Linked DNA regions of Cricetulus griseus. The protein of the gene in region 1 purifies or fractionates together with the protein of each later gene. This does not show direct contact. Links are inferred from orthologs where the notes say so. Each region holds a gene or a part of one and is shown in the gene's direction. Other genes may lie near its edges.

Region 1 (9,676 bases):
TCTTAGTTTGTGGTAGTTTTACTAGATACTGATGACTGTCTTCTATCATAGCTGTGATCACATTTTTATCAGCTGTGTATTAATGATCCATATTTGTGTAAGCATTTGGCATTATTAGTCTTCTAAGTAGCCATTCTGATAGTTATATAGTGGCATTTTAATGTGACTTTAATAGCTAATGACTATCTTTTTGTGTACTGATGCTATCTCTATATGTTCTTCAGTGGATGATGCTTTGTTAGGTCCCATCCCCTTTCTCTTTTCTTTCCTTTCCTATCCCTTTCTTTTTTTTTTCTTTGACAGGATCTTGCTGTTTAGCTCTGGCTAGCCTAGAACTTGCTATGTGGATCCTGGCTAATGTCAAACTTGGGACAGTCCTCCTACCTGTCTCCCAAGTGCTCAGGTTACAGGTGTGCACCACCACACCACAACCAGCAGTATCTTCATGTCTTCTCCTCTTTTTTTCTCATTTATTTTATGGCTCTCAACTGTTGTTGTGAAGTCTGCCTAACATCATGACCAAAAGCAGATGGAAAGTTACTTCATTCACACTTACATATCATAGACGAGGCAGGAAACTAGATTCAGAAACTGAAACAGAGGCCATAAAGGAGTGCTCACACCTTTAAACCCAGCACTTGGGAGGCAGAGGCAGACAGATCTTTGTGAGTTTGAGGCCAGCCTGGTCTACAGAGCTAGTTCCAGGACAGCTAGGGGTACACAGAGAAACCCTATCTCGGAAGAAAAAAAAAAAAACTTAAACAAACAAACAAACAAAAACTGATTGCTTGCCCCTCCTGATTTGCTCAGCCTGTTTTCTTATAGAACCCAGCATCACCTGCCCAGGGTTGGTACTGCCCACAGTGAGCTGGGCCCTCCTACATCAGTCATTTAAAACAAACAAACAAACAAACAAAAGCAGCAGCAACAACCCAACAGGCTTACTCAATTCTGATGGGAGCATTTTCTCTGTTGGGATCCCTTCTTAGGTGACCCTGTTGTGTCAAATTGACTGCAGAACACTACACACACACACACACACACACACACACACACACACACACACACACACACACACACACACACACACACACTTTGCTTTTGTTGCTTGCTTAAACCTGTTCACTGACTTGGAGGAATTTGACATCTTTGCTGTTTAGTTTTCTAGTCCATGAACACTTACTTATTTAGGTCTTCATCAGCTTTCCAACTTATGAATTCTTCATGTTTTGTTAGATTTCTCTCATAATTTTCCTTTTCATTTCTGAGTTATCATAAATATGTTTGCTATACTGGGTATTGAACTCAGGTTCTTGCACATACTAGGCGAGTACTCTACTACTTTCAGACTGGGTTTTTCTAAGTCGTCTAGGCAAGCCACAGACTTGGAATGTCTTGTCTCAGTCTCCTGAGTAGCTGAGGATTACAAGTGTGCACTGCCACACCCCGATTTGTGTTTTTAATTTTGGTGCTCATGTATTCATTATTGGTGTGTAGAGATTTGGTTGGTTTTTGCAGATCTTATGTTCTCAAGTCTAGCTACATGCTGTGGTATGAACTTGTAGCACCATCTTCTTTGGAGGCTAAGGCCAGGGTGTGGTGGTGGTGGAGGGTGGTCTCAAAAAAATTAAACAGTCAACAAAGTTACTTTGTTTGGAGTATCCAAAGGGGAAGTTCAAGTCTGTATAGGCACCAGTCATTACTAACTTAAGTTTGAATTTCTTTTTCTTTATTTATATAGTAACTTAAGGCTTTAGTGCCACATTATTTCCAATGACTTTCCATTTCATATATATATATATATATATATATATATATATATATATATTTTGAGATATGATCTCATGGCATCCAAAGGTGACAGTAATTTTTCTGTGATCTTTTTGTCAGCCTCCTGAGTGCCAGGACTGTTGGTGTGAACCACCACTTCCATTTCTTAATCATATTTTTTAAACAGTATTAAGAGATGATTTGTTTGTTTTATGAATTCCTTGGCATCTTCTCTGCAGTCGTGAGTCTCCAAAAAAGATTAGTTTTATTTCTCCTTTCTGGTCTTCGTGCCCATTGTTCATACCCTTCCTCCCTCCCTCCATCCCTCCCTCTCTTCTCCCTCTCCTCTTCTTCCTCTCTGAATGGAGCATCCAGTGGTGAGAGGTTAGCCTTTCACTGTTGTTGATTTTCATTTGACAGTAAATAAATATCTATTCCCTTGCCTTTAAGCATGGCTTTAGTTGTTGGGTTTTTGTGCATGCTGTATCAAGCTGAGGAGTTTCTGTTTTTTCTGTAAATGTTTGTCATGAATGGATATTGAATTTTGCTAGATGCCTTTTTGGTACTAGTTCATGATTTTTTTAAGCTTGTTAATGTGGCAGATTTTATGGATGAATTTTAAGTATCAAATGAGGCTTGTATCACAGCAGATATCACTTGATCATAGAATATTGTCTCTTTATATACTGCTAATTATTTTTGTTAATATTTTACTAGTCATTTTTCTATATATAGTCCCAAAGTATACTGGCTGGTAGTTTCTTTTGAGGGGTGGCATTTTTAAATTACAAATTTATTTTGTTTTGTTAGTTATGTGGCTTTTCAAATACTCTTGTGTGTTGAGTATGTTGTGGTGATTTGTGTTTGGGAAGAACCGGTCTGATTCCTCTAAGAAATCAAATTTGCATGTATAGAGGTATTTGTGGTATTCCCTGTTATCCTTTTTATCCTGTGATATCTCCTCTCCATTGTCCTCTTTTTCCCTCCCTCAGTCTTTTCTTTCCTTCCTCATTCTAAACATACACCACTATCTTGGTCTAGAGTTTGTCACTTTTCTTTTTTCTGAAGGAGGAGAGGGCTTGTAGCCCAGGCTGTCTTTGAACTCCATATTTATTGGAGGATGACCTTGAACTTCTGATCTTCTTGCCTCTACTTCTGAGTTCTAGGTACCTGAGTTCTAGGATTACAGGCAGGTGTGTACTGCCATTATATGGTGCTGGTGATTGAACCCAAGACCTCTTGCATTCTACTGACTGAACTATATCTCCAGCTCCTGTTGAATTTATTATTTATTATTTATTTGTTTACTTAAGACAGGGTCTCTCTCTGTAGCCCTGCCTGTCCTAGAATCCATTATGTAAAGCAGGCTGGCCTCGAACTCAGAGATCTGCCTGCCTCTACCTCCTAAGTGCTGGGGTTTAAGGGTGCACCGCCACACACAGCTCCTATTGCTCTGTTTTAAAGCACCAATTTGTTTCATTTTTTTAAAATCTATTTTTCTTTAATTTCACTGATTTCTGCTATGTCAGTTTCTTCCTTATACAGGATGTTAGAGTTCTGATGTAAGGGTTTCCCTATTTTAATGTATGTTTAAGTAAATTTTCATTTTTACTTATTTCATTATGACATCTGATTCTCTTGAAGACTTCCTCTTTGACCTGTAGTCAGTTTTAGCTGATAGAAAATTCTAGATTTATGCAGTCCCATTGGTTTTTACTCTGTATTCCCATTGGCTATAGCACATATGGCAAATGGCATGTATGGTAGGAGAGGAACACAAGGTAAACTGTGAAGGCAAAAGGATATATGTACCAGGGCTACTTGGCAGCTCATTGAGAACCCATTAAAACAACATTAATCTCTTCCAAGGACTGCACATCTGACATAATCACCTTCCATTAGGCCCCAACTCTTAATCACTTGGCAAAAATAAAACTCAACAAATTTGACTGAACTCAATCACACAGTGATTGAACAACAGAATCAAACTGGAAATCAGTAGCTGAAAGTGTGTGTCAAAGTACTTTGTCTTTTAAGGGTTCAAAGAGGTTTAGTTTATAATATGAAAGTACTAAAAGGTAATGGAACCTTAAGATTTATCTTCCTATCTGTTTCCTGGCGCATGTTAATGATATTTGGGGGCAGAGGATTCTATAAATGTTAATTTGTTTCCTCTTGGTTGACCATGTTGTTTAGGTCTTTTTTGCCTGCCTGATAAGTCAAGGCTCTTCCTCATTAATTGGGCTTCTGGTGAGATTGCAGTGTCCCATAATTGCCGCTGCAGGTGTTGGTCTCCTACTTGGATTTTTCTGTGGGCCCGACCATGAATTACTTCCTGTGCTGTTTGACTGGAGTAAAATAGTTATTGTTTATAATTTTCTGTATTGCCAAGTAGGCCCCCTTTTTTTGGGGGGGGGGGATGATTATTTGGAGAACACAAGTTGATGTTACTGGTTGGTAGATATTGATATATCTGTTTCACCAGTCTTCACCTTCACAAATAAGACCCAAAGTTGACCACTGTATCTTTCTTTGGGTCCTGAGATCTGTAGCTATTTTCTCTTCACTTTTCAGGTATCTGTTTGTTTGTACTGAAGATTGAACCCAGGCTAGGCAAGTATTCTACCACTGAACTACATCCTTAGTGCTTCCACTTTTCAGTTTTCTTGTCTGTTTTATTGTATTATTGCTATTGGTGGATATTGGAGTCTCTAGGACTCTGCTACGGTTTCCAGGTTCTTGAATTCCAGAACAAGAAATTTAACCTGGGACATTTGGATGGCTGTAGAAACAGAGGCAGTTTATTAAGAAATAGCACTTCTTGACAAGGAAGTAAGTCAGAGGTCTGGAGAAGATGTTAGACTGTCAGTGGTGCTGGGGCCTGGCAGATTGGGCAGTTTGTACATACACCTGTTCTGCACATGGCTGGTTAAGTGTTAGCTTTGGTGGAGAGATGGGTTTCCAGTCTCCTCCAGCCGACTTCTTTAACATGCTACTTTGAGTGTCCCACTTCTGCCCTGCTCTTCTGACACAGTGTTTAGGAATTTCATTGTACTTAACAGAAGGATAACTTCCTCAAAAATAAAAGTCCTGTCTAGTTAGAAATCTGGGACTATTTTTCCCAATAGGACAGTTATCCTGGTATCAGTTATTTCATTAAATAACTTAATTTGAAGAGATTTACAGTGCTACTTCTTATACAAAAGCCTTATATATTTGAATGCTTTTATACAATAAAAGTTGCTTAGCTAACTTGCCTGGTTAAGCCCCTCCATTTCTGTTAAAGAAGCATATAACTAGATATCCTTGGTACAGTTCTGTTCCTGTGAATTAAGTTGAATGTGCTTACTGAGAAAGTTTCTTTCAAGAATATGTATTGTTAAACTTTATTATATAAACAAATAGTGCTTAAAGAAAGTTGTTTTTTGAAAACTAATTTGATACTTTAGAAAAATTTATCAAAGAAAGTTACTAAAAATTACTTGCTTTTGAATTGGTCTGTGTAAAATGTTTGGGAGAAGAAGGAATAAAAATATAAACAGAAATCACTTCAATATTTAGATCACAAGTAAGTTCAAATACTCCACTTTTTAAAAGCCTAAACTAGAACTCACTTGTGTGTGGGGGAGTTCTAAAGCTTAACTGTATGTATCTGTGTATTTATTGTATCGATTTGTATGTTTCTGTTGCAGTATTATATATTCTTAAATTACTTAAGCATTTTTTAAGTACATTGTAACTATCTAGTAGGGTAACTTTACCTATAGTGTGGCCTTCTAACTGAAAATAACAGTAAATGGATGACCCAAATTGTCTGAGACAGTGAACAATCTTCTCATTACTAACTCAAAGACCTGGAGGGTCAGAGGGTTGCTTGTGTCATATTTTATCAATTCTGGCTCTTTCCCCAAGGAACTGTCTTCCTACTTTGTGTCAGTTTCATCCTCCAGCTGGTAAAACGGCTACAGTTGTTCACATCTCATTCCTGGTTTGCCTATGAAAAAAAATAAATCCTGAAACAATTTAATGTTTTTCAAGAGCCATACCTTTTCTCTGAAGGCTCTTTTCCTTGCATTTAATTGGTCTTAAAAGTTCAATTTGCTTGTATTTTTTTCTTTTAAAATGATGTATATAAACAAATTATATTTTATTTTTTCATACAGTTTCATCATTGTATTTCATTATTTTCAGATTTATTTATAGTTTGTGTTACCATTCCCTTAGATTGTTTGCAGGATAAGGTTGTGCTTCCTGATATTTGGATGTACTTTTTCTTTGTTTTATTGATTGATGTAGCCCGAATTGTCACTTTAATTAGAAGGGGACGACTAGAGATTACCCCTGAGTGCTAAGCACTCTTCTACCACTGGGTTATAATTGGTAGCCCCAATTTTAACTAAACATCTCCTTCATAATTTTTTTTCTAGTAACGTGAAAGTTTTAAATAATTTTTTAAGCCAGATTACAGAGTAATGGGCTTCATTATTCCATTTTCTTTTTTGTTTGTTTGGTTGGTTTTGGTTTTTTTTATTTTTGAAACAGGTTGAACTCAGAGCCGTGCATATGCTAGGCATATACTCTACTGCTGAACTACATACAGCGTCAGCCTCTGTCTCTTGTTTTGTGTATTGGTTTTGAGATAGGGTCTTAAGGTCAGTCTAGCTTCAAACAGTATGTAGCCAAGGCTGGCCTCAAACTTGTGAAGGTCCTCTTGCCTCACCCTTTTGAGTGTTTGGATTATACACATGGTTCATAATATCTGTGTTTTTAAATATTTAAGCATATCTGTTTGGAAAAGCATGTAGACAATTACTACTTCAGCAACATGTAAAAACATTTTCTATGTGTTACAGTACTGAAGCTGCTGAAAGATGGCTGAAGAAGTGGTGGTAGTAGCCAAATTTGACTATGTGGCACAGCAAGAGCAAGAGCTGGATATCAAAAAGAATGAGAGATTGTGGCTTTTGGACGATTCTAAATCCTGGTGGCGAGTTCGAAATTCCATGAATAAAACAGGTTTTGTCCCTTCTAACTATGTGGAAAGAAAAAACAGTGCTCGGAAAGCATCTATTGTTAAGAACCTGAAGGATACCTTGGGTAAGTTGTAAGTTGTTTCACATTGAAGGAAAAACACCTGCTTTCATTTTAGATAGCTTCTGGAGCTTAGTTCTTTGAACACAATCCTTACAGCAGTGTACAAAGTTGGCTGGGAAAGGCCAGAACAGTCATGTTAGCTAGGTATGTAAGTTGAGTTCCTAACAGCTGATTAAGAGGCTAGTGAAGATCATGTTAACAGTTCTATAAATCTAGGCCCACATTCAAATGGCACTAATGAGCAGAACTAACTTTGACCTTCTCGAAACAGCTTCTTGAGTATTAAATACCTCATGGAGTTTTGATTTACAGAAAATTTGCCCCAATTGAAAAGTTTGTGAGATGCAGAATTGTTTCCTTGGACATCCTGGTAATTTATTTTACATGGCACATTAGTGAACTTTTGACATGTAGTGAACACATGTCACTTTAAAAGGCAAATCTTTTTATTTTCTTCTATCTGAAAAGAGTTTTACACCAGTCGGTCATTGCTGTATACTTGTATCTATAGGACCCGTCATTTCCTATTTTATTGTCATTACCTTTCTTCCTCTGTTTATCTTTGTTTTAAATTTTTACTGGCCTTTATTAGGGCCAGAGATAGGGGAACCTACTTCACCCTGACCCTGGTTAAACTAAAGGAAGGAAGTGTGTAGGATGAAGACTGACCTCCTCCCTTTTCTTAATTTAACTTTCCTTAATGGACAGGAAGGAATTGGGAGGAACAGACATTTAATTTTGGTGTTCAAGGAGACATGCTATTGCTTAATAGTTCTTTGCTTATTTGTAAAAAGGGGGAAATGTTTTCTTGAAGACAGTTTGGGGCAAGCATGACTGATATTATTATTAAATAGTATTTAAAATTCTTAATGCACAATTGATATTCTGGTATTTTAATAATTATTGTCAATATAGAGTAAATGTTTATATCTTTAACTCTTGTAAGCTGTGAAAGATAAAATGTAGTACAATTCAAGCAATTTTGTGAAGCATTGGACTTTGAGTTCCTACATGAAGACATTTCTGGTGTACTTGATATTTTAATATCTGCAGCCAGTGTGGCATTTGACCAGTTGACTTTTTGTCTTTTTTGGGAACCTCTATTAACTTTACTTAATTATTACAGTTGTGGCTGTGTGCATTCCCCAAAGTTTGGGAATGCTACCTTAAATTAGTGGTCTTTGATGAAAATAATGTTGGGAATCTAGATTTTGTATCAAATATCTGAACCCCCCTCTTTTCCCAGAATATCTGCACCCCATTTTGGTACCTTAAATCCCATGTAATTTAGTGAATTTGTTTCATAGTGCCTGTGCTAGTGGAGACATTGTCTGGAAATTAAGGAAAAGGAGGAGTTATAGGAAAGGAAGAACTCAGGAGGCAGAGGCAGGTGGATCTCTGTGAGTTTGAGGCCAGCCTGGTCTCCAGAGCCAAGTGCAGCCAGGACAGGCTTCAAAGCCACAGAGAAAAACAAACAAACAAACAAAAAAAACCAAAACAACAAAAAATGTACTAGCTTTAATATTTTCTTTGAAAATTATTGAATTATAACTCATGTGTTCCTGCCACCAGGAGTTACTTGTTCTACAGGTTATTTTATGGTTTAAGGAGAAACAGTATTGGAAAGAGAAGCCTTGGTTTTGAAAACTGTTTCTATTGCTTGGGTGTGGGCCAGGTCACATGGATTGGGTGTGGGAAGTTTCAGGGTTACAGAGCAGACCAGGAAGCTCACTGAAATTATCCCGGAGCTGTGTCAACAAACTCCGAAAAGAGAGCACAATTTTTATTCAAAATGGATTGGTTAAAGGTCTTTAAAGGCTTTTTCAGTAAGTTATTCTGTTATTTAAGTCCATCATTGTTACATGTTTTGAATTGGATTTTTCCTTTCGTGAATTAAGAGGGAAACTATATGTTGAGAACTCAGTGTGTTTATATAAGCTGGTACTTTATGCTGTTTATGTAACAAGGTAAATGATTGGTAGTCTTTTCAATGCTATTCGATCTGATAAATAATTTTAAAGCGTTTTATCATGAGAATGCTTAATAAATAGGGAGAGGATATGCATGCTATGGATGTGATGTAGATAGCTGTAGTTTAGTAACTCCAGAATCTAGGCATTTGAAGTCAGTTGTGAACAAATTCTTTTACTCTTGACCTTTGAAATAAAAGTTTTTTTTAAAACTAGATTTTACTTAAGCTTTGTTGGATTAATGTCAAGAATATTTAATGAGAGTGATGATAAACTACAAGTACTGATTTGTAAGTATAATACTAAGCTACTTTGGGTCTGCTTGCGGCATGTTTATGATAATCATGTGCTGGATTGAATTTCTTTGAATATTTGCTAATTGTCTGTACAAAAATGAAGAAATTATTCTAGAAGTCTCTTACATACACACACACACACACACACACACACACACACACACACACACACACACACAAGAATCCTAAGGAAACAAAGTATAACCTAGTGAGAGATTCCAAGGGAAAGGGCAAAACAAAGGAGTAAGCGCTTTGTTGGAAGAGAATGTAGTCTTTGTAATTCATGGGCTCCTTTGTTTCCTTAGTTAGCTTTGATGGCAGTGATTTCTTCTGGGATATCTCGTCTAATTCCTATTTATCTTTTAGAAAGCAAATACATTTTTATATCTTTGAAGTTCCACTTTTAAAGCTAATATTTTTTTTAAGTGTGTGTGTGTGTGTGTGTGTGTGTGTGTGTACGTACACGTACACCTGTGAGCGTGTGGTTATATGTATATAGAGACGAAAGGATAACATGAGATGCCATCCTCAGGAACACCATCCACC
Region 2 (9,776 bases), on another chromosome or scaffold:
TTTTGCTTAGGCAACAAGCACTTTACCCATTCAGTCTTCTCCCCAACTCTATTGTCACCATCATCATCATCATTACTATTATTATTTGGCTTTTCCAGATGGGATTTCTCTGTGAAGCTTTGGAGGCTGTCCTGGCACTCTTTCTGTAGACCAGGGTGGTCTCGAACTCATAGAGATCCACCTGCCTCTGCCTCCCAAGTGCTGGAATTAGGCGTGTGCCACTGCTACCCAGCATATATATTTAAAAATAGGGTCTCTTAAGCTGGGTGGTGATGGCACACACATTTAATCATGGCACTCAGGAGGCAGAGGCAGGCAGATCTCTGTGACTTTGAGGCCAGCCTGGTCTGCATAGTGAGTTTCAGACCAGTCAGAGCTACATAGTGAGACCCTGCCTCCAAATAAATAAATTAATAAATACATAAATAATAAAACTACAATCATGGGGCTGGAGAGATGGCTCAGCAGTTATGAATACTTATCGCCCTTATGGAGGACACAGGTTCGATTCCTACCATCCAGATGGTGGCTTACAGCCATCTGCAACTCCAGTTCTACAGGATCCAATGCCGCCTTCTGACCTCCAAAGATACTAGGCCTTGTACTGCTCATAGGTGCAGGCAAAACACTCATACACATAAAAACGACTCATTCACAAAAAAGGAGGGTACAGAGTCACTGGTGTGAGCACTGACAGCACAAAATATGAAGACATGTCTGCTACTTTGTTAGGTAGGTGACTTGAACATAGATAGTTAAGCTTCATGTCTCTCATTTCCTTACCTGTAAAGTGGGAATACTATTACCTACTTGAGAAAACTGTGAGGATTAAACGTTATGACAATTACTGGTATATGGCAAATTGCAATAAATGTCAAAACTTACAGCGTGTGTGTGTGTGTGTGTGTGTGTGTGTGTGTGTGTGTGTGTGTGTGTGAGTGTTCTGCCTCCATGTACTCCTGCAGGCCAGAAGGGGGCACCAGATCTCATTACAGATGGTTGTGAGCCACCATGTGGTTGCTGGGAATTGAACTCAGGTCCTCTGGAAGAGCAGCCAGTGCCCTTAACCACTGAGCCATCTCTCTAGCCCCACAGTTTCTTTTTTAAGTATTTGTTTTTGACAATTTCATACATCTATATAATATACTGACCAGAATCACTCCTACCCCCTCTTTTATCCCCTTCTCCTCCCTCTGGAACTCTTCTGTTTGACATGTCACCTTCCTCCTTTCATGTCTTCTTGTTTGAGACAGGAGTCTCACTGTGTATCCCTGGCTGGGCCACTCCTCCTGGCCCTCAATTACTGTTTAAAACCTACTTTCTTTCTCCTTTAAGTTCTAGCTCTAACTACATCTGAATATTTATTATGGAAGGGAGAATCTGGAGAGATGGCTTGCTGGAAAGGCACTTGCCATCAAGTCTGCCAACTTGAGTTTGGTTCCAAGAATCCACAGGATGGGAGGAGAACCAGTTCCTGCAAATTGTCCTTTGACCCCACATGTGTCCTATGGTGTGCCTCCAGAATACACAATAAATAAAAATTTAACATATTGGCTGGGTGTGGTGGCACCTTTAATCCCAGCACTCTCACTGCAGACCTGAAAGTGGCAGTGGATCTCTGAGTTCAAGGCCAGCCTGGAATACAGAGGGAGTTCCAGGACAGCCAGAGCTGCTACACAGAGAAACTCTGTCTCAAAAAAGAAAAAAAAAAATTCTTTCTGCTTTGAACAATTTTTTCCTGGCGTGCTTTCTTTTCCTTCCCACCCTGGCCTATTCCTACAGACTTCATGTAGAAAATGAGAGATAGCCTCTGGGTTTCTTTCTTCATAAAGATTATCAATATGTCCCCAAATGAGATGCCTCTGTATTCACCCTCATGGTTGCCCTTGGCATAGAGTGGTGTAGTAAGAGCAGGGGCTTACTTTAGCTCTACTGGGCACAGACTACCCTCTGGAGTACTGAAGCAAAGGCTAGAACAATGAAGATAGGACAATGATAACCCACTCAAAGGCCTTGAGGTGGGAACTTCATTGCATGTTTCAGGAGCTGAGAAGTAGGTCCACATACTGTTGAGCCACTAAGGATGAGATAGGTAAAATGATGAGGCAACCACCCTATTTTCATGGATCCTGACTGGCATGTGTTTCTTGCCTTTGCCGACTGGTAATGGAATTCTACTCATCTTTTTTCTTTTTCTTTTTGGTTTTCTGAGGCAAGGTTTCTCCAAGTAGCCATGGCTGTCCTGGATCTTGCTCTGTGGACCCGGCTGGCCTCCAACCCACAGAAATCCACCTGCCTCTGCCTCCTGAACGCCTCTACAACCTGGCAAAATTTTACTCATCGTTCGAGGACTACTTCAAACCATTTACAAAATCTTGTCTCATTCTTCAGCAAGAATTAATCATTCCTATGACATCCCAGCACACATGCCATCACAACTCATCACGTGCTGACTTGGATCTCAGCTAGCTGTTTACATGCCAGTCTGCGCACCAGCATGGTGAGGTCCCAGAGGGCAGAAGCTCAGTCTTAGTCACCTCTGGAACCACCTCCTGGTATCTAGCCTAGTGACTGGCTCACAGCAGGTATTCAATGTGACATTTACCGGACTAGTGGGTGGGGCCCAGCACTTAAGACAGAACAGAGGGAAAACAAAAATAATAACAGCTTATGACTTATCTATCACATGCTTTCCCATCAGTTACCCGATGAGCCTTCAAGGACTCTAATAGAAAAGGACAAACACTCTGAGGTAGCTGAGGCCCAAGAGCGCACAGCTAGTAAGTGGGGATTAAGCCCCCATACTGTTCTTTTACTTGAGTTTCAGCCCTGGTCATTGGGTTGACCTGAGGAGCAGAGAGGAAGCAATGGGGTTGCCTGGAGTGGTGACAAGCTTTTGTGTGTGAAGATATCCTTAGTCATTTGCAACAGAGTGAAGGCCAGCAATGGACAAGGATTCCTCCCTCTCATCCAGGCACCCAGAGTAGTTCACAACACCATCTCTCAGCCCGGTGAGATGGGGATCCCTCTGCTGGGGAGGATGTTCGGGTTCAGTGGTTAGAGTGACCTAACCGATGACATGTAAGCAGACGCTTGCCTCTCTGTTGCTATGACAACCGGAGCTTGTCTACCGGGCCCCTGCAAGGATAGCGGAGTCGTGTTCTTCCTTAACTCTAGACCATATAAGGGCTTATGGGGTGCGCGCGCGTGTGCGTGTGCGGATGTCTGCGTGTTCGCACGCGCAGCGGAATAAACACGAAAAAAAAAAAAAAAACCACAACCCATATTTAAGAAACAGCGGTTAGCTCAGTGATTCCCTATGACGACCGAAGGTTAAAAAGTCATCCGCGCAATTTTAAAGGTCTAGAGGCTCAGACTGCATTTGACCAATTCAAGAAGCATCTCGCGGGCTGAACGCTGGCACCACCGCTCATCGAGAGCCTCGCAGGCGGCCCCAACCGCAGCCCCCCAGGACGCAAACCCGGCTTTCAGCTGCGGAGCTCCTCTCGCGACCTTCTCAAGATGGAGGCGCTCCGCCCCCACGTGCGCCGGGAGAGGGCGGGCTTCTCCGGGCGCATGCGCCCCGCGCCTCTGGGCTCCCGGCTGCCTCCTCCTCTTTCCCCCGCCTCCATTTTGTTCGCGGACGCTGGGGACGGTGGGAGCAGATCCATTTCCGGGTTGGTAAAAGGGGCGGCGGCGAGAAAGAGAGCTTGGCGCGGGGCGAACGGGCAGGACTACAGCAGGACGCGGGTGGCGGAGGACTCGCTCCCGGAGCAGCCCCGGCCAGGTGGGAAAGACGCCGCGGCGGCTGAGCCCGCCGCTGAGGTGACCTGCCGACCTGAGTGGGAGGGAGAGCCGGGGAGGGGCGCTGGGGGGGGGACGCCGGGGAGGCCGGGGGGGGAGGCCCGAGGGGGCCTGGGGGCGGAGCCTGGAGACCCCGGGGAGGGGGCGTGGGCCGTCCGAGTGGAGGGCGGTGGCGTGCGGCCGGTGCCAATGGGCAGGAGGGAGGTTTCTGCGAGACAGGAAATTAGAGACCCTGAAGGGTTGGGTGAGGTGAGCAAGACGGCCACTCTGGGTGAGGAGGGAGGGGAACCGTGCGCAGAGGGGGAGATGGGGACGGGAGGGAGGACCTGTTGGGAAAGGTAATTATTAAACGCGGGATGCTCTGAGTGGAGGAGGCCGATGTGACATTTCGGAATTGATTTTAGGTGAAAAGGAATGGCTGGGAGGGAAGCTGTTTACGTTGGAGGAAATCTTGAGGGTGTTGGGTGGGAGAGAGGGAGTCGGAGAGGTGTCTCAGATGCGGTTGGAAGCACCTGAGTTGGAGGCTCCTGTAGGAGCCGTGTGCTATGAGGGACTATGGAAATCTGAAGGTGCTAAACGTAGGCTGCGTGTGCGGTTGAGTTGCTGACTGGGGATGGTTAGGAAGGCATATTCTGGAAGGAGAAGCTGAAGGAAGATGGTGGGTACTGGACTCGACCTTCCACCCCCTTGCTGGGGATTGAATCCTGGTCCCCCTGTATGCTGGGCAAGGCTCTGCCTCTGTGCTGCGCCCGAGCCCTGCAATTCTTTGATTTTTTTCTTTTTTCTTTTTCTTTTTTTTTTTCGAGACAGGGTTTCTCTGTGTAGCCCTGGGTGTTCTGGAACTCTGTAGACCAGGATGGCCTCGAACTCCCGAATGATGGGATTAAAGGCATGTGCCACCACCGCCCAGCCGGAACTCATATTTTTAAAGTGACTTGACTAGTACTAGGTTGATCACTTCCCGGGCCCACTCCTTTTTTTTCTTCTATTACTTTTGCTTTGGAGTTCTGTCTTCTGGCTTGTTAATTTTTTTTTTTTTTTAGCTACTCTTTTATCTTTTTATGAATCAGAAGAGAATTTTAGGGAATAAGAAGTCCTCTAGCTCCTGTATAGATTGATATGTAACTTTGAGACATCATTAAACTCTCATTCTCTTCCTCTGTAATATAGGCCTGACCCATCTGTTTCCCTAGAAGATTGAGTTAACTAATTTGATTTTTGAAGTCAGTGTAAAGAAAAACAGGATCGAGATACTGCTATTTAGTGGGGGTTTCTGGGGGGGGGCGGGGTTTCTTTGTGTTGCTTTGGCTGTACTGGAACTCACTCTGTAGACCAAGCTGGCCTTGAACTCACAGAAGCACCTGCCTCTGCCTCCTGAGTGCTGGGATTACAGATGTGTGCCACCACTGCCCAGCATCTCTATGTATTTTAATATATAACCTTTAGTCTTCTAACATCTTCCTATATCTTAATATTTTTAATAGTCGAGATTTTTGTGTTACTGGGTTGTTTATCACCAAGAGGAAGATATGGACATTAGAGTCGGAAGTGAATGAGTTCAGCTGTTAGTGACTCTGAGAATGCAGTGTTTTATTTTCTAAGTACCTGAGTATTTTAGAGAGGTGAGCTGTATGCATGCCTTGGTTCAGTCAGTATCTGTGGCCTTGTTGTCAGAGGGTAGAGACCATGCTTGTAGACAGTATTAGATGCTTTGTTGTCAGTCCTTTGGCATTCTGTTTTAGTTTTTTCTTTGGCTGTACTACCTTGAACACTTAGCTGGTAAGTGAACTCGTTCAGCCTAGAAGTGTTTCTGAGAGTCTTAGCATTTCTGAGTTCTGATGTGGATTCTCCAAAGACTTGGCAGTATGAATTCTGTCTCACTCTTGGTATCAGAAATGGTGTTTACATGGGGTGGTGCTGATTAGTGATGTGGACACAAGGGTGAGAGGCAGGAGGGGAAGGATATTGGGAAGAGTGTAGCTATAGAGGCTAAGAAAAGGGATCCTGATCTGTTGGAGGGAATACCATCACATGTTCTTGCTTGACTTTAGCCTTCTGAACTGCTTCCTGGCACACTTGTGTTTTTCCTGTTGCCCTCAAGTAATTCTGAAGTTCATGGACTGTTAGTTCAGGCTGTTGTAGCAAACCTTAGTCTTCATACCAACTCCAGGAGGAGCTGCAGGCATGAAGTATGTGCACATATTTGGAGATAAAAATCTGTGTAATTGTGTGCTGCTGGGGTTTGGTTTGTTTTCTGAGACAGGGTTTCTCTCTGTAGCCCTGGTTGTCCTAGAACTTGCTCTGCAGACCAGGCTGGCCGCAAACTCATAGAGATCCACCTGCCTCTGCCTTCCAAGGTAGGACTGAAGGAGAGTGCCACCTTCAACAAATTTTTTTGGTTTATTCTTAAAAGGGTTTTGCTATCACAGAAGCTCGGAGCTGCTACAGTGGCCTGTTTCTTTAGCACAATGATTTTCAGTTTTTCCTTTCCTGTCACATTTTCCCATTGCTCTGCTTCAACTAGTCCTAAACGGAAAGTGGCAAGTCACCCTCCCCCTTCTTCTGGTGGGCATCCTGTCTGTGTCACAGCTTGATGCCACCAAAATGAAAGGATTCTTGACTGCTTCAAATGCGGAGGGTGACAGAAGCTGAGCTGGGTTTCTTGAGCCAGAGAATGGACTCTGTCAAAGCAAAGAATAGTTGCAGAGACACCAACTGGGACCTTGAAGCTGTGACTAACATTTTGGCAACATGCATCCCTTTGCCAAACAACTTCTTTTCTTTAAGAGTGTGATTGTTGATCTCTTTCTCAAAGTAAGCTCTTGTTAACTGTATTTCACACAGCTCCCAAGTAGAGGCTGGCAGAGTTCTGGTTGATTGACTGTCTCAGAATATATGCTTTGGATCAGAGCGCATGGGGCTTTCCAAGTCAAAATGAAGTCCACTGGTAGATCTGGAGAACTGCTCTGCAAGGAAGAGGCAGCACTCTTCACTGAATGTTTGGGCAATTGTTCTAAATTTCAAATCTAATTCTTATTTATGTGGTGATCAAATACAGAATCATTGCATTTGCCTAACTTACAAGGCCAGGGCATTGAGGAAGACAGCATCTCAAGCTTTCCTGTGTTCTTGCTCCCTAGTCTTGGAGCTGGAAGAACCTCATAGACTAAAGTTTGGAACATGTCAGCCTTTGCTTTCCTTTCACCAGTGTTTGGGATTGAATTTAGGGCTTCATGAGTGCTAGGCAAGTGCTCTACCACTGAACTACACCTCCAGGCCCAGCAAGTGTTTACTGGCCTTATCTATGGCAAGATATTGAAAATGTTGCCAGGTGGTGATGTTGCACTCCTTCAATCCCAGGACTCAGAGACAGACGAATCTCTGAGTTGGAGGCCAGCCTGAGCCAGCACAGCCAGGACTACACAGAGAAACCCTGTCTTGAAAAACAAAAACAACAGCAGCAACAAAGACATTGAGAAATGTGAAACATAAGACAGATGTGGCTCATGCCTGTAGTTCCAGCACTTGGGAGGCTAAGGATGACTGCAAATTCAAGGACAGCCTGGGCTATAGAGTAAGACCATGTCTTAGAACCCAAAGGGGATGAAATGTAAAGAACTTAATGATGTTGTTAGAGGGGGAAAAAAAAACTGTTGGTAGGCATATTAATATCTAAGTCATTTTTTATTTTTATTTATTTATTTATTTTGTTTTTCGAGACAGGGTTTCTCTGTGTAGCTTTGGAGCCTATCCTGGCACTTGCTCTGGAGACCAGGCTGGCCTCGAACTCACAGAGATCCACCTGCCTCTGCCTCTCAAGTGCTGGGATTGAAGGCGTGCACCACCAACACCCGGCCTCTAAGTCAGTTTTTAATAACTTAGGAGTTTTGGCTTGGCATGCAGAGAGATTCTGTGGAGGCACACAGGCTATCAGATAACTGAGCCAGGGCTTGGCTACCTGGCTTTCAGGCTATCCGACTATTCTACGGGGAGGTTAGGTAGTTGAAGATGCCGCTCTCTCTGATGATCTTGGGGTGGTCTATGAAAATGTTTTCTTGACTGTATGGCAGTAGCCCCATAATGTTAGAGGTAACCCCAAAATGAATTTTCCTTTTGACTTTGAATCCAGACTTTTCTTCACATCATTAGTCTAGAGTGTTTTTTTTTTTTTTTTTTGAGACAGGGTTTCTCTGTGGCTTTGGAGCCTATCCTGGCACTTGCTCTGGAGACCAGGCTGGCCTCGAACTCACAGAGATCCGCCTGCCTCTGCCTCCCGAGTGCTGGGACATGCACCACCAAAGCCCGACTAGAGTATTTTTAAGAGTATTATTTATTGCTGGGTGGTGGTGGTGCATGCCTTTAATTGCAGCACTCAGGGTTTGAACTCAGGGTTGTATCATTGAGGGGCATACACTACTTAGTCACTTCACTGGCCCCCTTAAGAGATTTGAGACAAGCTGTCACTCTGTAGCCCTTCACAGGTCCCAAGTTCCTAACACTATGTGGTGTGGCTCACAACTGACTTACTCCAGATCCAGGGGATCCAGCCACGCCGCCTTCTGGATACTGTGGGTACCAGTATAGGTGGCATGCACTAAAATAGACACACACAACTTTTTATTTTGTCTTGTTTTGAGACAGGGTTTCACTGTATTAGCCTTCACTGTCCCACTTGCTCTGTAGACCAGGCTGGTCTTGATTCTACCTCCTGAGTGCAGGAGGTGACACACAACTTTTAAAAGAAATAAAGATGAAATTAGGGGGCTGGAGAGATGGCTCAGAGGTTAAGAGCGCCGACTGCTTTTCCAGAGGTCCTGAGTTCAATTCCCAGCAACTACATGATGGCTCACAACCATCTATCATGAGATCTGGTGCCCTCTTCTGGTATGCAGATATACATGGAAGCAGAATGTTATACACATAATAAATAAATTAAAAAAAAAAAGTTTACTGGTCTGGTATCTGAATATTTTTAAAAATACATCCATAGCACACACCTTTAATCCCAGCACTGGAAGGTAGAGGCAGGAGGATCTCTGTGAGTTTGAGGCCAGCCTGGTCTACAGAGCTAGTTCCAGAATAGTCAGGACTATTACATAGAGAAACCCTGTCTCGAAAAACAAAAAACAAAAACAACAACAACAAAAAAGATGAAATTACTGTTTGCAAATTTTATATGTTAAGTTGTGGTGGGGCTTGTTTATAATCCCAGTATTGAGGAGGTAGAAACAGATGGATCGGGCGTTCAAGTTTAAGGCCTGTGTGGGCTACAGGAACCCTTGCACAAAAAATAAATAAATAAATAAATAAATTTTAAATAAGTAATACAAAATTCAAATGGCAAAGATAAAATAAAATAAATGAAGCTAAGCATGTGGACTCATGCCTGCAATATCAGCACTCCAGAGGCAAATGCAGAAGGGTTGTGTGAGGCTAGCTAGCATGGGTTCAAGGTTAGCTTGAGCTGTACAGCAAGACTCAAAGGTAGGACAGTTGCCTAACAAGTGCAAGGAGGCCCTGAGTTCCTTTTCCAGCATTGGTGTAGGGCCCGGGTATATAATATCCTCTACCTTTGTTTGCCATCAGCCCAGTTCACCTGTTCCATCTTTACAGGGGTTGTGAACTGTCTGACATGGGTACTGGGAATCAAATTCAGGTCTTCTTGCAAGAACAGTGTGTGCTCTTAATGCCTGAGCCTTCTGTGCAGCCCAAGGCGAAAGTTTTTAAAACCAGTGTAGCACACACTGTTAATACTACCTGCATGTTTTGCCTTTTGTTTTTGTTCTTTTTTTTTTTTTTTTTTTTTTTTTTTTTGAGACAGGGTTTCTCTGTGGCTTTGGAGGCTGTCCTGGAACTAGCTCTTGTAGACCAGGCTGGTCTCGAACTCACAGAGATCCACCTGCCTCTGCCTCCTGAGTGCTGGGATTAAAGGCATGCGCCACCAACGCCCGGCCTTTTTTTTTTTTTTTTTT
Region 3 (9,776 bases), on another chromosome or scaffold:
ATGTATACCTTTATGGCAGAAGAGGTCATCAGATTTATTATAGATGGCTGTGAACCACCACGTGGTTGGTGTGAATTGAACTCAGGACCTCTGGAAGAGCAGCCAGTGTTCTTAACCACTGAGCTATCTCTACCTGCTTTTAAAGATAGGGTCTTATCATGTAGCCTAAGTTATGCTGGAACTCATGGTCTACCTGCTTCAGCTTTCTAAGTACTCTACCAGTATGCTAATAACCCCAGCCATTTTGTTCTTGTTTATTATTTATTTATTCATCTTCCTACCTGCCTGCCTGTTTGTTTGTTTTATTGGTGTGGTATGCACATGTAATGGCATGCATGTAAAAGTCAGAGGACAGTTTTGTGGAGTCAGTTCTCTTTTCCTTGTCAGATTTATGCAGCCCATGTTTTTACCCACTGAGCTATCTCATTGGTCCTAAAATATTGCCAGTGCAACTGCAGCTCTATAGTTGGTGGATCTCCACCTAACTCATCCCCCCCCCCCCCCCCCCCCCCCCCCCCCGAGATCGAACCTAGGACCTAGGATCTTGTGCATTTCAGTCAAGTGTTCTACTATGGAGCTACAGTCCCCAGCTGCTTCCCCCATTTTTAAAAAAACTGGGTTGTTCTCTCTCTCTCTCTCTCTCTCTCTCTCTCTCTCTCTCTCTCTCTCTTTTCTTTTTTCCTGAGACAGGGTTTCTTTGTATTGTTTTGGAGCCTGTCCTGGAATTCGATCTGTAGACCAGGTTGGCCTCGAATTCACAGAGATCCGCCTGCCTCTGCCTCCCGAGTGCTGGGATTAAAGGCGTGCACCATCAACTCCTGGCTGGGTTGTTTTCTTATTGCTAAATTTTAAGAATTCTTTGTGTATTTGGGGTACAAATCCTTTATGTACTTCACATATGTACATAAAGCACATTATGTACATACACTGTGTAAATATATGTATCTGCATCTTGTCTTTTCATTTTTTTTTTGTCTCTTGAAGAACAGTTTTATGTTTTAATCAAGTTCAGCTTACCTAGTTTTTCTTAAATGGATTGTGTCTTTAATAATGCATCTAAAAAGAACCATTGCTAAATCAAGATCATCAAGTGTTGTGGAATATTATTTTAAGATATGTTCCATTGTTTATGCTGTGAAATATTTGTTTAATGATACAAAGATGTGTTACATTCTTTTATGTTATATTTGTAACTTTATAAAACTGTGTTACTTTGTCTGCCTAAACCACCTGATTGGTCTAATAAAGAGTTTAATGGTCAATAGCTAGGCATTAGACAAATAGGTAGGGCTGGCAGGCAGAGAGAATAATAAATAGGAGGAGAAATCTAGGGAGGAGAGGAGGTCAGCCATCCAGACACACAACCAGCCACGGAGTAAGAAGGAAAGAAAGATATATAGAATATAGAAAGATAAAAAGCCCAGAGGCAAAATATAATTAAAGAGAAACAGAATAATTTAAGTTAGAAAAGCTGTCTAGAAACAAGCCAAGCTAAGACCAGGCATTCATAAATAAGAATAAGTCTCTGTGTATTTTATTTTGGGTGGTGGGCCCCCAAAGAGTTAAAAAACAACAACAAAACTACAATCAAGATTTTCTCCTGTATTATACTATAGACATTTTATAGTCTTGAATTTAGATCTATGACCCATTTTGAATTGTGTGTGAAAACTATAAAGACTGTGTCTAGATTCTTTCCTTCTTTTTCTCTCCTTTTCTGTCATTCATTTTGTAATTAGAATGGACAGAGTATGAAGGTAAATGACCATCTTAAAACCACTTTAAGCTTAAGTAGTGGTTACATTAATGTAATTCCAGCACTTAGGAGGCTGAGACAGAGTTATCAGTTCAGGGTCCTCCTAGGGTCCATAAATGAGTTCCAAACCAGCCTGGTTGATACATTATTTCACAAAAGTAAACCAAATTAAACAAACAAACAAAAAATGTAACAACAACAAAGAGATCATAAGTGGGGGTGGGGGTCAGATCTCCTGGAACTGGAGTTACAGATGATTGTGGGCCACCTTGTAGGTGCCAAGGACTGATCTCTATCAGAGCAACAAGTGCTCAACACTACTGAACCATTTCTACAGTACCTAAAAAGTTTTATTGCATTTATTTATTTGTGTATGTAGTGTATCATATGTCATGATATACATGTGGAGATCAGAGGAAAACATGGGAAAGAGATACTTGTGTTTAACCTGTGTCCCAAGGATTGAACTCTGTGAAAAGTTTCTGCACCCTGATAAGCCTCTCCACCAGTATAGCAATCCAGATTAGACCAAATCAAACCAAACTAGAAAAAGCCCAGATTTAATGGATACAATTCTCCTGGTTGGTTTTCCAGTCCCCCAGGGAGGAGACAGAAAAGAGAGACCGGGAAACAATGTTTTCTGGTGTACAGTGTAAATACCCTGTGGGAGTGGTCTTGAACATCTCTGGGGGAGGGGTCATCATTTGATGGGTTTTCTGAGATGGGGCAGTTTGGAGAGGTGGGGGAGGGGGTTTTCCACCAAAACATTCCAGATCCTTTGGGTATATGGATGCCAGGGACTGGGGTGAAGCTTCCATCAGAACACGCAGGTCATCAGTCTTGGCAGCAAGTGCCTTTACCCACTGATCCACTTTACTGGTCCCAATTGTTTATTTTATTTTAGGTTTTTGAGACAGGATTTCTTTGTAGCTTTGGAGCCTGTTCTGGAATCACTCTGTAGATCAGTCTGGCCTCGAACTTACAGAGATCTGCCTGTCTTTGTCTCCTGAGTGCTGGGATTAGAGGTATGCACCACCACTGCCCAGCCCCATTTTTTTTTTTTTTTTAATGTAGAAATTCCTATCTCCTCAAATACTGCACATACTCAAGATTTGGAAAGGGTGAATAATGGAAGAGCTGAATTTTTTCTGTTTACAGTTCTTTCTCTGCAATTAGATGAATTTGGGCACACTGAATGGAAGTGCAAACATTTGTCAGGGAAGATGGCTGAATATTTAGTGAGTTGGGTTTCATGCTGGTCTAGTGGATACTCTATGCTAGTCAGTAAAGACTGGGCTACTGGAGTTAGTATGAAGATGACCAACAATGATCTGTTATAAACAAAACAGATAAATGAGAGGACTAAAAAGAAACAGGCTTAGGAACCAGACCGTGGTATATAGATGATTGTGTTGTTTACTGGATGTGTGATGCTGGGGAAGTCACCGTATTTTCTTATCCATTGCTTCCTGTCTTATACCTGGTCTGCTGTGTTACTTTCAAGCAGTATCTTCAGAATGTGTTACTTCTTTTCATCTTAGATATTATAATAAATTAGTACTATCTTCTTCTTTCTGTTGCCTATAGCTCTAAGAGATTCTGTTAATGTGCTCTTGCCCTCACTCTCTCCCACTGACCAGGGGTCTTTTAAAAATGTCAGCTTTTGTCATTTTGTTTTTTCAGAGCACTTCCATTGCTGAAACTTGGAGCAAAATCTAAAGTTATGAGCAGGTGAGATGGCTCAGTGAGTAAAGGCACTTGCCACCAAGCCTGACAACCCAAGATTGATCCCTGGGACCCATATGGTAGAGGAGAAAACTGATTCCCATGAGTTATCCTCCAATCTTATTACAAGAGATGTAAATAATTTAAAACATCCAAACTCATTAATTGTGACCTGGAAGAGATAATCTGCATAACTTGACTCCAGTCATAAACCTCAAAGGCAAGGGATGAGTTGGATGAGTGGAGCCAGTGGTGAGAGATACTGTCTCCTGTGGAGCACTTGGAAATATGTGAAGGTACTTTTTTTTTTTTTTTTAAATCATTGTAGTCCTTTAGGGGTACCTTTTATTGGGAGGGGACAGTCCAGAGTTGGTTCTTTAATATGTTGTCCAGGTCTAGTTCTGTCATAGTGACTAGTATCTAGCAGGTCCTTAAGAAATTCGGAGATCATATTCTTCTAGGACCTCAATTCTGACACCTGTGAATTGATGTAGTGCTTACTCCATAAGGCTTGTAAAGTACTGGGACACATACAATAAATAGCTCTTAACAAATGGTAGCTATTGCTGAGCTTTGTTCAAAGGAGAGGATGGTATAAGGGAAACTTTTTGAGAGTCAATATTAAGAGATCTCCCCCTCTCCATCCTAGTGTGAAAGAACCTTCAATCTGATTTGAGGAGGTCTAGGAAAGACTCCTCAATACCAGGCTGCAGAACTAAGGCACAGAGGATCTCCGGTTTTCTTCTTGATCCTGGGGCTCAAGGGGACTTTGGTAGCTCTAGACAGCCTGCCTAGCACCTCTTGTTGGAGCCTGAGTTGGTAGAACAGCAGAGACAACCAGAATGGTGGGGATGTAGCTGCTTCCCGCCCCTCAGCGCCTCTTCAGAAAGGAGAGGGCGGGGAGAGCGCTCCCCGCCCCCTTCCCCTCCCTTTCTCTGTTCCTCCCTCCCTCCCCGCCCCTTCACTGAACCACTCTGTCTTTGCTGCCGCCCTGAGAGGGCCAGAGTGTGCTGCTCCTCTGGAGCTGTGTGGCTGTTCTGCTGTACCCAGCCGAATCCAGCCTGTCAGGCTGGTTCAGCCCTGGCTTTGTCGCAACTGCTGAGCAGGGAGAGGTGCGGCGCTGCGACAGATACACAAGATCATCAGAGATGCTGGGCCCCGCACTCCCTGCCAGGTAATGCCGGCCTTTCCTGGGCCTGGCACAGCTAGGCTGAGCTAGGGTAGGACGAGGGGGAGTCTTGCTGCTTTGTGGGGTAGAATGGAAGAGCATTACATTCCACTTACCTTAAGGGACTCTTAATGAGGGAAGGGCCTCAGGGTGGAACCTTGAAATAAGCCCACTCAGGGCTAGGCCTTTGCTGGAATTAGAGATCTGGCTAGAAAAGGTTAGAAGGGGAAGCTGGATTTTTGGGGAACTATGAGGCCCCCCCCCCTGCCCTCCTTTGTAAGCATGCTTCTGCTTAGTGGCCTGGGTGATGCCTTTCTGTGCCTTGGTTTAGCTGAAGGTTTACTAGGATCAAAGGTACTGCTCCCTGGTAGGAGATGCAGTGAAGAAGGAGACCCCTGGTGCTGTTCCTGTTTAGGCAGCCTCTGTGAGCCTCAGTTTCCTTATTTGTAGAGAAGGGTATACAATGTTTGTAACTGGGTTTCCTAGGCTGTCAGGTTACCTTGGAAAGGTGAGCTAGATACAGACTAGAGGAGCCAGCCTTCTGTGTGTATTTTGCTGGTCTGATTAGAACCAGTGACTTCAGGGCAAGACAGGTTGAAAATGCTGATTCTCTCTTAGGGGCCAGTGTAGGTATGTTGCTGTAGGGCAGTGGGGGTTGAGAAGAAACAGGTGAAAGTATGTTAATATTTTTCCCTGAACTGGCCAATTCTTTGATACTTAGGCCACTGCTATAAACTAGGCTGTCTTCTGAGGAGCACTGTTATTGATCTACTAAGTAAATTGCAGACCTTGAGATTGTATAATGCCTTAATCACTGTAATTCCTTCCTTTATTATTTGGCACCAAGAAATACAAATATTAATGTACCTTGATTATTTTGGGCTTGCTTTCTAATCTCAGTTTCAAAAAAGCTGTGTATTTCTTCTGACAAGCCTTCCTTTCCTTCCTCCTCCTCCTGGTCATTTTTTCCTTGCCTGCCCCCTCACCTGTTCTCCTACCTCACCATTTTTCTTCCTTCCTTTCCTTGTATTCATGCTTTCCACTTCTTGTCTCTTCCCCTCTATAACCAGTTGTTTTTGTTTTCTGTTTTTTCTTTTCTCCCCTGCATCCTCTCCCTCTTGGTTAGGCTTTCTTTTCTTTTTCTTTTAGAATTTTTGATTGTACTTTCTCAGTGGTAGTAGGTTGCTGGTTTGTAGGGACCTTTGTTGTGATGTTTGTAAGGTCCAAACATTCTAGCTCTCTTGTTTTCACTTAAACTCTATTTTCTTTAAATGCCAGGCTCTCTCCTGATTGCCCTCGGACTGTGTTTTGGTGCCTCCCAGTAAGCAATCATTCTTCCTGGTTTAATTCTCCATCTTTTTCCTTGCGCCAAGGCATAACATGGGCAGTAGGGAAAAGGCACAATAGAAAGTCAATAGTTTGAAGGCTGGAGCTGGAGAACAAGTACAAATACAGCTAGGTAAGAGAGTCTGTCATTTAGATGAGGAGCTGGGAGATAGCCAGTTATCAGTTGGCACCCCCGAGGTACTGCTGACTTGAAGGAAAGGTTGACCTGTGTGTGTGTGTGTGTGTGTGTGTGTGTGTGTGTGTGTGTGTGTGTGTGTGTAGGGGGGAGGCACAGAGACAGGATAGCAGAGTAGGAGGAAGAGGAGAAGGTGGAATCTTGGGGCAAGAGAGTGTTCTTTTGAAGGGGCTTTGAAATGGAGATAGGTATCATTTGGGGTTAAGGGTGATTGTGGAGGGAAGCATAGGATGTGTAACGGGACCATATAGGTTAATTCCTCTTCTGACTTAGGGCTCTTTGGAGTGGCTTATTTTGCTCTGTAATTGTTTTTCCTTGGGCAGTATCCTAAAGTACTAAAGTAAGAGGGGAAACAGAAATGAGAATGACAGGGTTATTGTTTCATTGACACCATCTAGAATATGCAGTGTGTGTGTGTGTGTGTGTGTGTGTACATATACAAAAGATTTCAGTGGGGCATCCATCCATTATTAATTGTTCTTTCTGGCTGGTGAGATGGTTCAGCAGGTAAGGGCACTTGCCACCAAGCATGATGACCTGAGTTCTATTCCCAGGTCTGGTATGGTGGAAGAAAAGACCAACTCCTACAAGTTACCTAGATACATGAACCATGGCATGCACTCGCCACTACCCTAGTACATACATGCATAAATAAATAGATGTAATTTAAAAAGAAATTTTTTTCAGTCATCAACATCATGTTAGTTATGGTGCTCATTGCTAGGTAAAAAAGTAGGAGTCAGATTCATTTGCTGCCTTCAGTTGCAGGTTAAAGGTGTGGGTGGATCCTCATGTGAGCAGTGTAGAGGGAAGCACAGGGAGCTATGATGATGCAGTGTCAGAGACTAAGGTTCAACAAATCAGTGGCAGGGCTGGATTATAAACTCGTCTTCTTTAATGGTGCTATGAGTTTGCTTTGACCATGTTATCCCCTGACAACATGTCCATGTTGTGAATAAAGAATTTTCTTGTTTTTTCTGTCTTTGGGACTAGAGTATAGATAGTACTGAGACAGAAACAAATTAACATGTGGAAGGAAACAGACTTTGTCCCTGTTCATTTCTGGCTCCAGGCCTTTAAGTGACTCACTGCTGTGCACCCTTTTTGAGTTATTTGATCCCGTTCTCCCCCTTTTCTTCCCTGCTTTCTTAAATTCAATTTCTGGCACAAGATAGAGTTCAAAGACCAGATAGGCTAGGTGTTTACGTCACTGACTTCTGTAAAAACAGAAGTATAACACCCTGTAGAGTTGATGAGGATCTAGTGAAGCAATGAATGTATGAAAACACTTTGTATAGTGATGTCCCCGTATTATTTTTATTGTTCTTAGATGCATTCTTAAAACACTGAGAAAATGCTCAGATGCTGTAGCCCAGAAGCCTAAGGATGACACTGAGTAATCTAAAGTTTGAGTCTTATTCTTGGTGAATACAAGAAAAGAAGGAATAGATAGAAAAGGTTTTCAGGATTGATAGTTGAACTCCATGCTCAAAGTGGAGGCCAACTTTTGTAATCAAGTGCTTTATTCAGGTCAGAGAGATGGTAGGAAGCCAGTATGAAAGATTATATTTTTAGTGACTCTTTATGATAAACAAAGTCTTTACTTTAGTAATTACTGGTTACTTGCTTGTTAATCTAAGTTTCATATATAAAATGAAAAAATAATTTATATTAACACTGAAGAGTTTATTATAAAGCTCAAAAGTAATTTTATAAAAAAATAAAAAATACAAGGCTGGAGAGATGGCTCAGTGTGATTAAGCACCTTAGCTGATCTTCCAGAGAATCAATTCCCAGCTCTCACATGGCAGCTCACAACTGTCTGTAACTCCAGTTCCAGGGGATCTGGCATCTTCATGCAGACATACATGCAGGCAAAACCATCAACGCACATAAAAATAAATAAAATTTTAAAAATAAAAATTACAGTTGGTAAGAGTTATTCTTACTCTGCAAAAATAAACTCTAAAGCCACCTCTTAAAGTCTTCCTTGACTGTTAGGGCCTCTCTTCTGGATTTATGCAGCACCTCTTTGCACTTGGTACTTGCTGTTATATGTGGATTTTGTATCCTCTCCTCCCACTAGGCTGTGCATTCTTTTGAGGGTAGAGTCAGAGTCTAGTGCATCTAAAATCAGCTAAGTGCCTGTGTAGTTACTGTGTATATGTTAGTTAGCATAACATATTTGTTACTACTGTTTATTAAGGAGGTACAATAAATGAATAATTAAAATTTGTGATAACTGTGATAACCAGAGTAACTTTTGGTCATGTTAAGTTTAATAGTCTGTGAGACAATTGTATCTGTAACTCTTAGCAGTACCTGCAACTTAACAGAAGTGTAGGTAGAATTGATTGCCAGATAAAGTTATTAATCTGAAAGAGAGCTGTTTGGTTAAATGCAAAACTTGGGTGTCATGAACAATAAAGGTGTTATGTAAGGCCTTTGGGCTGGGTGAGTTCATCTTTGGGAGAGTGTTTTGTAGTAAGGGTCTGAGTCTTGGATGTGTGTAAGATTAGAGGGGAGAAGAGAAGGCAGAAAGATAGAAGGGAAAGAGAATCTAAGAAATAGGGTATTTAAAAGAGAAGTGAGGTTAATATATTGATTGCTGATGAGGAATTCAACAAGGTAAGGACAGAAAAATGACCATTTGATTTTTCAAGATGGGAATGATTGGCAATCCTGACAAGAATACTTTTGGTGAAATAGGAAGAATGCCACTTGGCATAGAAGGGAAGGTAGTCCTTTACATATTAATAGATAATTCTCTTGAGAAGCTCTGCTTCTGAGGGCAAGCAAAGACATAAGTGGTATTTGGAAGAGGATGTTGGTGTCAGAAGAGAGTGTGTGCCCACATGTAGGATACTGTATAGTGTTTGTATATTATTCCAATATTTCTTGGATCAGATAAAAAGAATCATTTAGATGTGTTTTTTGAATTTCCTTCTTCTTTGCTATTTATTCTACACCCTTTGGCTCTACCTTTAAGATAAATTTACCTGGGCTGGAGAGATGCTCAGCAGTTAAGAGCATTGGCTGCTCTTCTAGAGGTCGAGGACCTGAATTCAATTCCCAGCAACCAAGTGGTGGCTCACAACCATCTGTAATGAGATCTGGTGCCCTCTTCTGGCCTGCAGGGATACATGCAGATAGAACACTGTATATATGATAAGTAAATAAATCTTAAAAACATAAAGATACATTTACCCATGAAATTCTGTCTACATGCTGCTAGTCTTCTATGTAGCTGTGAGTTCTTAACCTTGATTTTTGTAACTTCTTAAAGGTTTCTTCTTTATTTTCCCTTGTAGCCTGTTCTACTCTGGCTGGAGTGGTCTGTCTAAATTCTAAATCAGATCACCAGTGCTTTCCTCCAGGTGCTGTACAATCCAGAGTCTGATTGTGGCTTATAAGGTCCTGCACAATTTGACTATATTGCTAATTTCTGTCTCTGTTTCTCTGCCTCTGTCTCCTCCCTCTTTCTATCTGGTATTGAGGCTCAAGCCCAGGGCTGTGAACAAACCATCATTCTATCACAGAATTTGTAGCCTTAGTCACTTAATCTGAGTGTCTTGACATATTTTTCCTTGATTAATTAAACTTTA

The links.
Region 2: the proteins of Nck1 (region 1) and Wipf2 purify together in Homo sapiens (co-immunoprecipitation; 3 studies listed by BioGRID and IntAct, with this or other methods). This does not show direct contact. The link is inferred for Cricetulus griseus from reciprocal best matches to the Homo sapiens genes NCK1 and WIPF2.
Region 3: the proteins of Nck1 (region 1) and Pak1 purify together in Homo sapiens (affinity purification with western blotting; 8 studies listed by BioGRID and IntAct, with this or other methods). This does not show direct contact. The link is inferred for Cricetulus griseus from reciprocal best matches to the Homo sapiens genes NCK1 and PAK1.

Annotation. Positions count from the first base shown.
Region 1 is NC_048597.1:208,845,671-208,855,346, reverse strand, and holds part of Nck1 (cytoplasmic protein NCK1), read left to right. Parts: intron 1-4,344; 5' UTR 4,345-4,383; intron 4,384-6,623; 5' UTR 6,624-6,641; coding exon 6,642-6,867; intron 6,868-9,676. UniProt on the Homo sapiens protein: Adapter protein which associates with tyrosine-phosphorylated growth factor receptors, such as KDR and PDGFRB, or their cellular substrates. Maintains low levels of EIF2S1 phosphorylation by promoting its dephosphorylation by PP1.
Region 2 is NC_048600.1:111,944,285-111,954,060, forward strand, and holds the start of Wipf2 (WAS/WASL-interacting protein family member 2), read left to right. Parts: upstream 1-3,650; 5' UTR 3,651-3,787; intron 3,788-3,954; exon of another isoform or gene 3,955-4,053; intron 4,054-9,776. UniProt on the Homo sapiens protein: Plays an active role in the formation of cell surface protrusions downstream of activated PDGFB receptors. Plays an important role in actin-microspike formation through cooperation with WASL.
Region 3 is NC_048596.1:101,660,560-101,670,335, reverse strand, and holds the start of Pak1 (serine/threonine-protein kinase PAK 1), read left to right. Parts: upstream 1-3,538; 5' UTR 3,539-3,708; coding exon 3,709-3,777; intron 3,778-9,776. UniProt on the Homo sapiens protein: Protein kinase involved in intracellular signaling pathways downstream of integrins and receptor-type kinases that plays an important role in cytoskeleton dynamics, in cell adhesion, migration, proliferation, apoptosis, mitosis, and in vesicle-mediated transport processes.